2 linked regions of the Drosophila melanogaster genome follow. Changing the gene in region 2 together with the main gene of any one other region gives a genetic interaction. Each region holds a gene or a part of one and is shown on either strand. Other genes may lie near its edges. The genes, in order: TkR99D and CG17760.

Region 1 (5,131 bases), on a different chromosome or scaffold from region 2:
TCCATCACATTTACAGCGACAGCCGCCCAGGACCGCCGAATGACACGCACTTAAAAACAGCGGGATACGCGACCAGATAGCCTGGGGAAAAAGGAAAATTAAATTTCCAGCGGCCGTGCGGTGGTCATCAATCAAACCACTCGTCACATGCTGTCGGGGCTGGCTGGTATTTAGCCAAATATACATTTTGCCAGCATAATGTTGACAAACAAATTATCATTCTGGCGGTCAACGAGGGGGCGGGGGCGGCAGGGAAGGATGATGATGATGAGGTGCAGGACGAGACGGGCTTAGCGTTGATTAAATGGGGTCATCAGCAGGGCATGGCACTGGTAACGAGCGTTATCCTTGCAGATAGTTAATGATGCCCAGCTGCTCGGGATATTGGCCATTGCAGGCGTACACTCGGACTCGCAGCTCGGTGCGAGCCACCAAGTTCAACTTGGTCCATCATAATCATTATGGATGTGTTCAATGGACTGCACGTCAGCGAGAGATAAAGAAATTTAATGACCTCCTGCTTTCACTGTGTATCCTCCTTCCACAAAATGTAAGACGAGAAAATAATCTAAATGAGACATCGCCTTCAAAGCGTTGGAAAATAGTTACCTAAGCTAGTTAAGTTGACTTGTTTCATCTTGGATCAGTCGAATATGTGTGCCAAACCATGGTGTAGGTCATCTCATTTTACATGCAACCCATTCGTTGCTCAGTTGTTACAACTAAATGGAGTGATTGATGGGACATTGATGCATGTGCAGCGGATGAAGTTGCGGGATTCCATCTCCGCCAGCAAATTAAGACGTCCGAATCTGGCGAAGAGGGGGAGGCATTTCGGATTCATTGCTTACTTTAGGCATTTTTGGCCAGATCAGCCACCAACACCTGCGGCTGTCTGGTGTGAAAGAGCCAAGTCATTTGGCCAAAACTAACAAACATACGCTCTGCACTGAAAACAATTTCTTTGTATGTATGGTAATTGTAAAATTGTAATTGTTTTATCAAAATGTAAATAGAGACATATTCTGTATGGAAAATAGGAGAATTTGCGGTTTTATACCCATAATTTGGCTAAAATCATAATTACAGTCAGTTTTATACATGTTTTTTGGAGCCTGTGACCTAAGCAATCGATCCAAATCACTTTTTAATTGATTTCGAAAAATTAATTTTTGGACCAATTTTCGCAAATTTGATAAGGGGTACCATCATTAAAATTTGCTAAAATTGGCCAAAAATTTATTTTTCAAAATCAACAAAACTTGAATGCCAATCGATTAGGCATGCAATTACGAGCTCAACGAGGTATTACATTCTATATTTTGATAAATTAATCCAAAATTTTTCGTAGCCTTTCCACTTGGGAAAGTGGAATTTTAATGGGAAATGGGAATTTTAGCCTTAGGACTTGGCTACCTTAGCAAAAATAGCAAATCACTTTGCACTGATAATCAAGATGTGTAATCTATTTCAATGATATACCCCTATTGAATTTGTAAACATGCATTCTAAACCTAAAACAAATTATTCGAGTGTATTGATAAACATCTTCCTTTGAATGTGGTATTAAACGCTTTGAAAGTGCTGTTTTGGAAGCGATATATTCATTGTGCATATGTGTGTATATTTTGTAAGACATCTTGGTCATTTGATTTTCCGCTTGTGCGTGGCGTGCACGTGGCAGAATCGCCGGAGTCCGGATTGTTTACGAATAGCCGTATGACAACAGAGAGCGAACGAAGGCAGAGCGAGAGGAAAAGATAGGGCGCAGGCGTAGAAAGAAAACACTCGGCAACACTGGTGAATTTGGGCGGGTTTCCGTTCGATTCCGTCGCAGATTTCAACGCTTTTCAAATGGAAACGTTGCTCATTGCTCCGATAAAATAAAAGGCCCTCAACGCAAAGGGGTTACGTGAGCCCTAGTCCCCAGTGCAACATCCCAACATATGCAACAAGCGGCCGGAGTCCCCGAGGTCCACGGGAACCCCCCCCGCCGCAGAAAAAAAAACCGCCCACTTTTTTGTGGCCCTTATTATAACACCGACATATCAGCGCGCACAGCCTCAGAAAATTCCGGCTGGCATTCAGTTTTCCGCTTTCCGTTCAGTTCAACGGCAGACTCGCGCGCGTACGGTTCGAACTGAAAAGGCGACGGGTCCGGATTTTTTGGACTTGTCGGTTCTCCGGGTTCTCGGTTCCTGAAATTCGCTGATGATAGGTGATAGCTGAAGCTGGCGGAGAAGTGTTGGAAAAATGCTGGAAAATCAGCTTAGAGCTGGCTGAAATGCCGCCGGCAGTCGATCCGTAAACGTAATTGAATTCGGCCCAGTGGATTGAAAATCAAATTCAATTTCGTAGCGAGCAAACACGCAAAAACGATAAACTAGTCGTTAAAGTGAATATACAAATTGGTGTTTTGATTAAAACTAATAAACATAAACACCGAAACCACAGAGCAGCAGAAGGCGAGCAGCGGAATTTATTTTTAAATACGATTTCTTTGTTATTCGCTGCCTGCAATTGGCTGACATTGCTCATACGCCGCGTTGGCCGAGCGAAGAAGTGGGGATTTCAGCATAGTTCCTGGTAAGCGGTCTCCCACTGCCCAAAGTATTTTGTTTTTTTTTTTTCATTCTCTTTCCACTCATTATTGTTTTTCCATATTACAAAAACATTGTTTTCGGGAGGTGGTGGCTTGAATTGCAAAGTTTATTGCACAAACCAAACCGAAATTGGTTTACAAGTTTATGGAAATTCGAGTCGCCAAAGTAATTAGAAAACTGCTATTTGTGGACAACTTTCGGCTGCCCTGGTAACTTTAGCTCGAAATGTAATTACATCGAGAGCCTAATCAAGTGACTAACCCAATTCGAAAGATCAAACTGTAGGCCATTCCCATTCATCCCGATTTTCCACTCAATTTGAGCAACGAGTTCCACGACTCCAGTGAGCTGAGAAATAGTTAACCGATGGCCAAAAACCATCACACCCAATTGACTTTGCCCGATGAAAAGGTTCTCCGATGATCTCAGATTTCGGAAATCTGGTCGGAAGAGCAAATCTCCTGGAATGACAATTAATTCGATTGCGATTTGCGTTTTTTAGGCCCACGGCGGAATGGAAATAATCTTTTTAAATAACGCACCAATTCCGTACATCCTGTGCCATAAAATAAAGTAAAATAAAATAAAACCGTGCGCATTGGCTTATCCCTTGGGTATTTTCACATGTGCCCAGCTCTGATGTTTATAATGCAAATAAGCAAAGTGTTTCAAATGTATTTATTTTGGGGTCGAAGGCGTTTCAGCGCTGGTTGTTTTTTTTTTTAAGCCATTTAATTTTAAGGGGAACGTAAATAGAAGCCTTAAATGCATGCAAACTTCCTGGCTGGATTTTATAGAGTTCATACACAGTTGATATTTAAGAAAAATGTAAACCAAAGGCAAACGAAAGTGTATCTCTTCGTTAGATGTTAAAACTTGATTAAGTGTTTGAGCAGTTAATTAATTGAATTTAATCAAGTACTTGTGGCCAAATGAACTCCACCCTGCAATCAATCGGAAATTTAAGTATAAATCATCAATCAAATCAAGGCATTCATTACCTCGAAGGTATTTCGCTTGTGAACTCCCGACATAATTGCCACTTTAATTGAAGAAAATTAATTCACTCGAAGTGTCCATTTCCAGCTTTCCTTCGAATTCGAAGTGAAGCGCTTTCAAGTGAATCCGCTGGCCAAACAGCACACTTAATTGCTCCTCCGAGATTCCAGACATCATCTAACTCAATCAGTGGCTGGCACAACTTTCTCCGCTTCTAAATATTTAATGTCAACTATGATTAGTGAGGAGGCAAAGTCCTGTGGTTTTAGGCATGTCGATGTGGGATGTGGGCTGTCGGATGTGGTCGGGGGTCTTTGGATCCGGATAAATGGCTGTTTGGCGGCCAAATGAACGCATCCGCACAAAAGCTTTGCCGACGGTCAGCTGAGCAAACCGAAATCCTTTCAGCGCGAATTGCTTGCGGAGGAGCAGGAGGGGATCCGAGGCCATTAGTTGGCCCCAAAAGGCGGCCTTTAAAGATTCAGGCAGGCGTGAACGGATGGGTATCTTTAAGCGAATACGAATGCGAATCAGTAATAAGTGAGTGGGGTGCCGTATGTTCCGTATGTCCAGTGCTGCTCCACAGTGCTGTCATGCATCAAAACATTTAATTAAATTGAAACCGATGCGGCATCCGCCCCACTGCTGACGTCTTTGCCCGGCCACACTGGACATTGGCCAGTGGACACTGGACTTTGGACATCGGAGCGAAGGAGGATGTGCTGCTGGAGGTGGAGGGCAGCATAGCAGGTCCTTTGGCGCCGGAGACGTGTGTAACTTCGGCTTTCTTCCCCAGCTTTCAGCATTCAGCATTCAGCTTTCAGCTGGACACCAGTTCACCATCTCCGCCCCGAATGAATTTAAATGAAGGCAGTGCCGGTCCTAAACAAGTCCGTGAATCATGTGCATATTTTAGCGGTGCTCAGTTGAGTTCGTCCCTCTTTTATGCAGCCCCATCGAGCTATGCAGTGTCCTTGTCGGTGGACAGGACGTGTATTCCACAGGGATAGCCTTTAAATAAATGGGTTAATTCGATGGCATTGTTCGCACACCCAGCACATGTGTCCACAAGACAATTGTCCAATTTATTGGCATTGAACAACTTTGTGTGTCTAATATAAAATGTTGCACATAACAATATGCAAATAACACTTGTGGCAGCATGTTATTTATGACTTTGTGAAGCTTAACTTTAATTTGGCATTTGGCCTTTGTCAAATATTTCATTTGATCGTAGATCCGAATAAAAATTCAATTTTTTCCCAAATGAAGTCGAGCGAATTGGTTAATATTTCCGGAGACGAAAAAAATCTATCAATTTTGAATAAGTGAAAGTTAAAAGCTCCAGCTGAGAAGTCATTCAATGGGCAAAAGCAATACAATTCAAAACTGAAATGTACTCAGTTGCCCCTCGGCCTCGCCACTGCTCCCCATCTTTCCACGCCGAGCAGATCTGCCAAAGAATATACACCGACTGGCAGATGATTGAAATGGGAGTGAGAGCCACAGCGCTGGGAATCGAATGGGGG
Region 2 (5,449 bases):
CGTATATCCACAGGCGCATGCGAGTCCGGGAAGTCCACATTCATCAAACAGATGCGTATTATCCACGGCAGCGGTTACTCGGACGAGGACAAGCGTGGATACATCAAGCTGGTTTTTCAGAACATATTCATGGCCATGCAGTCAATGATCAAGGCCATGGATATGCTGAAGATTTCCTACGGTCAGGGAGAGCATAGTGTAAGTGAAACATTGATCTAATTGAAGTCACTGAATCTTAAACAACATCTTACGATCCACAGGAACTGGCCGATCTGGTGATGAGCATCGATTACGAGACCGTTACCACGTTCGAGGATCCATACTTGAATGCCATCAAAACGCTTTGGCACGATGCTGGCATCCAGGAGTGCTATGATCGTCGTAGGGAATATCAGCTGACTGATTCCACTGAATAGTGAGTTGGGACACCAGGAGCGATACCCAAAATTGCTTTTTTCTCATTTTCTTATTTCAGTTTTTTGGGTGACATAGGTCGAATTGAACAGGCTGATTACTTGCCAACTAATCAGGACATTCTGCGTGCTCGAGAGCCTACATTTAATATTACCGTTTATCCTTTTGAGTTGGATGGCTATGTACTTAGGTATATATTAAATTTTTAGGGGCAGTTTTATTAATTTTATTGTATTAACAAATTTCTCGTTTATAAACAGCATGGTGGATGTAGCAGGACAGCGAACTGAGAGAAGAAAATGGATTCACTTTTTTTCGAATGTAACATCGATTATATTTTTGGCAGCACTGTCGGAATATGATCAGTTCATGATGGAATCCGAAAACGATGTATAACTTGAAGGCATTTTATTAATTATTCGCCAACAATAATAAAATCCGATTATTGCAGAATCGACTGGAGGAATCAAAGGCTCTATTTCATACTATCATAACCTTTGAATGGTTTAAAAATGCTTCAATCATTCTGTTTCTTAACAAGATGGACGTGTTAGAGGAGAAAATAATGTATTCGCATTTGGTAGACTATTTTCCAGAATACGATGGTAGGCGTTAAAAGTTATATGGATTTACACACAAATTTTGATCAATATATTTAATACTTAATTCTTTACAAAACAGGTCCAAAACAAGATGCATATGCGGCCAGGGAATACGTGCTACGTATGTTTCAAAGCATTAGTTTAGATACATATAAAAAGATATATTCTCATTTTACGTGTGCTACAGGTAAGTGTATTGTCTTGATTTATTTGGCTTAAAATGCATTTGTTCTGTTCTTATATTGGGAGATTATGTATTTTGCTCGTTTGAAAAAACAATGTAAATGCAGTAACGTACAGCCTAACAAAAAGCTAAATAATACGTTACAAATCCCATCTAATTAAGTTATTTATTTCATTTTTAGATACGGAGAACATTAAGTTTGTGTTCGCTGCAGTTAAGGATACAATTTTGCAATGCAACCTAAAAGAAAGTAATCTGTTTTAATATGGGTGTGGATCCCCAACTTTTATGTGGTCTCCCCATGTAGATAATAAAAATAAATTTTGCTCTTACTTTGTTATAAGCACACATATTCAATGTTTATACATTCTCTTTACCTCTATCGATTAAGAAATTATTTGCATGTCTTATAAATTTAGTTTTTAATATGGTTTTAGGCGTTTACAGTTTGGTATTCGTGGATTAATAAAAACCAGTTCATCTTATAAGAGCCGCGCATTGTTGGGCTCTTAGAAATAATTATTTGTGTTTTTATTGCCATTACAAATTAACTTAATCTACATTAAAAGAGTGAACTAAGTGTAAGGTAATGGGAAGAGATAAACAAATTCTCTTAAAAATCGCTCTTAGTGACTTGAGTAGGGCGAATTAAGTAAGCTCAGTTCTCAACAATTTTATCGTGCGGGTGAAAATGTAAATTCGCCCAGCGCCGCCCAATTAGTCTTAGAAAAACTCTCAAGACAGAATATACAAATTTTGCAAAAATTCTGTTTAGTCCACGTTTCGGAAGTTTAAAATTTTATATATAACCTACAGAACAGGAATAAAAAATAAAAAAATTAAGTAAACCCGTAAAATTGGTGAAACAAATTTAAAATCTACAAAAAAGTTAGAAATTAATAATAGTGCTTTCATGTGACTAAATTTCAATAAATCGTTTCATCACTTCAAAAGCGAACCTAAAAAGCACGAAAAAAAACGACCAAAAAACGATGAAATAAATGTAAAATTGTATCTAAAAAATAAAAAGAAAATATTTTGTAAGCACGTGAGTCAGTTATAAAATAACGTGTTATCACTTCCGTTATCCGGAACTCGCAGAAGGAAGGATTTATAATCGTACATACATAATATATTGTATGTATGAGTGATTCATTTCAGTCGACAGAATCAAAAAATTATAGTTGCTTTATTTTATTTATGAAATATTTTATAAACTCATTTAAAACAATGCCAATTTGGGTTTCGGCATACATTTAATAATTACAACTCGACAAAATGTTCAGCTCGATATTTTGGAGTGAGTAACACTTTTGTTTTGTATTAATACCCAAAGCGAAGATAATATTATATTCGTATAGGCAGAGCCTTATTTCATATGATATTTTTCAAGGCCAAACTTTCGGAGTCGTCATAGTAAATTACCCATGTGTCACTGGAATCAGCATTCTAGATTCGGGTTCAGTGAACTTGCTAGCCATATCGTTCCCAAGATCCCGACATACGGACAAACGGACAGGATCTATAATTGTTGATATTAATTAATTAAGCTACAGGATAGAAAACTTATCCTTCTACGTGTTACACACTTGCAACGATCAAGTAAAGATCAAAGAAAGGCGTATTTATATTGACCAATTGCGTTCTTTACTCAACAAATAAAGAATCGAAATAATCAAGGAACCAGAGAATAAGCCTGCAGGAATAACCATGGACTGCTGCCTATCGGACCAGGCTTGTGAGGAAAGGCGTATCAGCAGGGAAATTGATAAGTTCCTGAAAGCGGAAAAGAAGAAAGCTCGACGTGAACTTAAGCTATTGGTCCTGGGTAAGGGAAATCGTAGAATAATTAATTTCATGGCCTGTGTATATACCCAACAAATCCACAATCGCAGGCACAGGTGAATCGGGCAAGACCACATTCATCAAACAAATGCGCATCATTCACGGCAAAGGATTTTTGGACAAGGAGAGGAAGCAGTTCACCAAAAATGTTTTCCAAAACATATTCATGGCCATACAGTCGATGATCAGTGCAATGGATACTCTGCGAATTCCCTACGGTCAGCAGGAGCATAGTGTAAGACTAATTCCTGAAGCAATAATACATATTTTGATTTGCCTCCAACGAAATCTTATGATCCACAGAAACTTGCCGATCTGGTGAAGAGCATCGATTACAAGACAGTTACCAGACTGGAGGCGCCCTACTTGAATGCCATCAAAACTCTTTGGAAAGATGCTGGCATCAAGGAGTGCTACAATCGTCGTAGGGAATATCAGCTGACTGATTCAACTGAATAGTGAGTGAGCGGATTGATTTACTAAGAAATATCTGAGAGGCACACATGGGTAATCGTGCACAGAAAACCCATTTAAAATCAACTCTTTTTCTGCTTATTTTATGTGTCTTGAATGTGATAATAGTTACATTTTATCTAAGCATTTGTATTAAGCATAATTAAATAAATAACTTAAATTAAAATCGCTTCATTTTTCATCCAATTAGCTTTTTGAATGACATAGCGCGAATTGAACGGAGTGATTACCAGGCCACTGATCAGGACATTCTTCATGTTCGAGCGCCAACAACCAATATTGTTGAGTATCCCTTCAATTTGGACGGTTTTCTGATAAGGTATTTGTTTGAAATATAGTAAAATTAATAACTTCAATTAAATCGTACAACACAACACAGATTGGTGGACGTCGCTGGTCAGCGAACGGAGAGAAGAAAGTGGATTCATTGTTTTTCCAATGTGACATCAATTATGTTTTTGGTTGCCATGTCCGAGTTTGATCTATCCTTGGCTGAATCGGAGAATGATGTATTCTTTTGAAATTCAATTTCTTCCAATGAATAACCAAATTCCTTATTTCAGAATCGTATGAAGGAATCTAAAGCTTTATTTCACAATATAATATCGTTTTCATGGTTTCAACACTCGTCCGTTATTCTGTTTCTAAACAAGGAGGATTTATTTAAAAAGAAAATATTGTCAACGCATTTGGCAGACTATTTTCCTGAATATAATGGTAAGTTGACATCAATCAAACGTATGTACATGTCATATAAAGGATTTTATTCGACATCCTATTAACCAGGTCCAAAGAAGGATGCTAAGGCGGCCCGAGAATTCATATTGTACATGTTTACTAGCGTGAATCCTGATCCTTACAAGTGCATCTATCCTCATTTCACCGTTGCTACAAGTAAGTCAACTTTATATTCTGATTTTTGAAAAAAACACATCTTTTTGAATTCCTTGCTTGTGTTTTATTGTGTCTCAACATAAAAACTAAGGACGCTTTACACTCAATAACTAAAAAAGTGTTTTTTGGTTTTGTAGATACTGAAAATATTAAGTTCGTGTTCACTGCTGTCAAGGACACAATTCTGGAATTGCATTTAAGTGAAACTAATTTGCTGTGACCTCGATTTCTACAAAATGTCTATTTAAATCATATTGATGAGTAACAACCTTTGTGTATCATATTTTAAAAATAGGGAAATAAATGTATGTAAAACAGAAAATAACTTTTTAATTATTTATAAGTTTGCTATTATATTATAAACTGATGTATATTAAATGCGCCTTGTTGCTTTTGGACGTTAAAAAACTGTTTTTTATTTCAATCTTATGTTTACATATACAATCCATTAAATATAACTCGGTTTACATACTGTTCTTATTCAGCCTAAACGCACTAACTATGAATCCAGCTGCTTTTAGCCGGGGTTTCAGTACACGTGAACTATCACAATAAAATCATATATATGTCATGCTTTGCATTAACCGTAGAACCTTATATGGGCAAACAAGCGAATTAAACATCACATCATGATCAACAGTTTAAAACAAAACTCTCACACACTTAATAAGCTAAATATAATCTTGGATGGGGGCTCGTATTGAATCGGTTTTGGCACGTTAACATTTACATGACCACAAAGTCGCTAAGGTTGCGTTCAGGTTGGACCATGCTCGGTGGCATCAATTGCACCAGTTTATTGAACAGGAAAGCTCGCTTATTCTTCAGCTCGGGTGTGCAATCCGTCCGCGCCCTTTTGGTGCAGGAGGAGGAGCTCGGACTAGATGCAGTCTCCGAGATGCCAGAAGAGATCATGCTTTCGTTCGACTCCAGGGAGAGGTTCTCGGTAGCGGGTCCATCAGCCAGTTCCTCTGTAAAGATACAAGTTGAATTATCCAATACGAATTCATTATTGACTAATAAAACCTTTGATCTT

The links.
Region 1: of CG17760 (region 2) and TkR99D, changing one suppresses a phenotype caused by changing the other (phenotypic suppression), as found in Drosophila melanogaster (one study listed by BioGRID).

The regions. Positions count from the first base shown.
Region 1 is NT_033777.3:29,966,438-29,971,568, reverse strand, and holds the start of TkR99D (Tachykinin-like receptor at 99D), read left to right. Parts: upstream 1-2,121; 5' UTR 2,122-2,586; intron 2,587-5,131. UniProt on the Drosophila melanogaster protein: Receptor for tachykinin-like peptides.
Region 2 is NT_033778.4:12,623,889-12,629,337, forward strand, and holds CG17760 (uncharacterized protein), read left to right. Parts: upstream 1-1,919; 5' UTR 1,920-2,248; intron 2,249-2,864; 5' UTR 2,865-2,910; coding exon 2,911-3,028; intron 3,029-3,095; coding exon 3,096-3,280; intron 3,281-3,348; coding exon 3,349-3,503; intron 3,504-3,709; coding exon 3,710-3,838; intron 3,839-3,898; coding exon 3,899-4,028; intron 4,029-4,082; coding exon 4,083-4,236; intron 4,237-4,305; coding exon 4,306-4,413; intron 4,414-4,550; coding exon 4,551-4,633; 3' UTR 4,634-4,731; downstream 4,732-5,449. Other genes in the region: CG30054 (uncharacterized protein), read left to right, coding at 14-198, 261-415, 476-604, 675-804, 866-1,019, 1,096-1,203, 1,382-1,464; muskelin, read right to left, coding at 5,140-5,384, 5,440-5,449.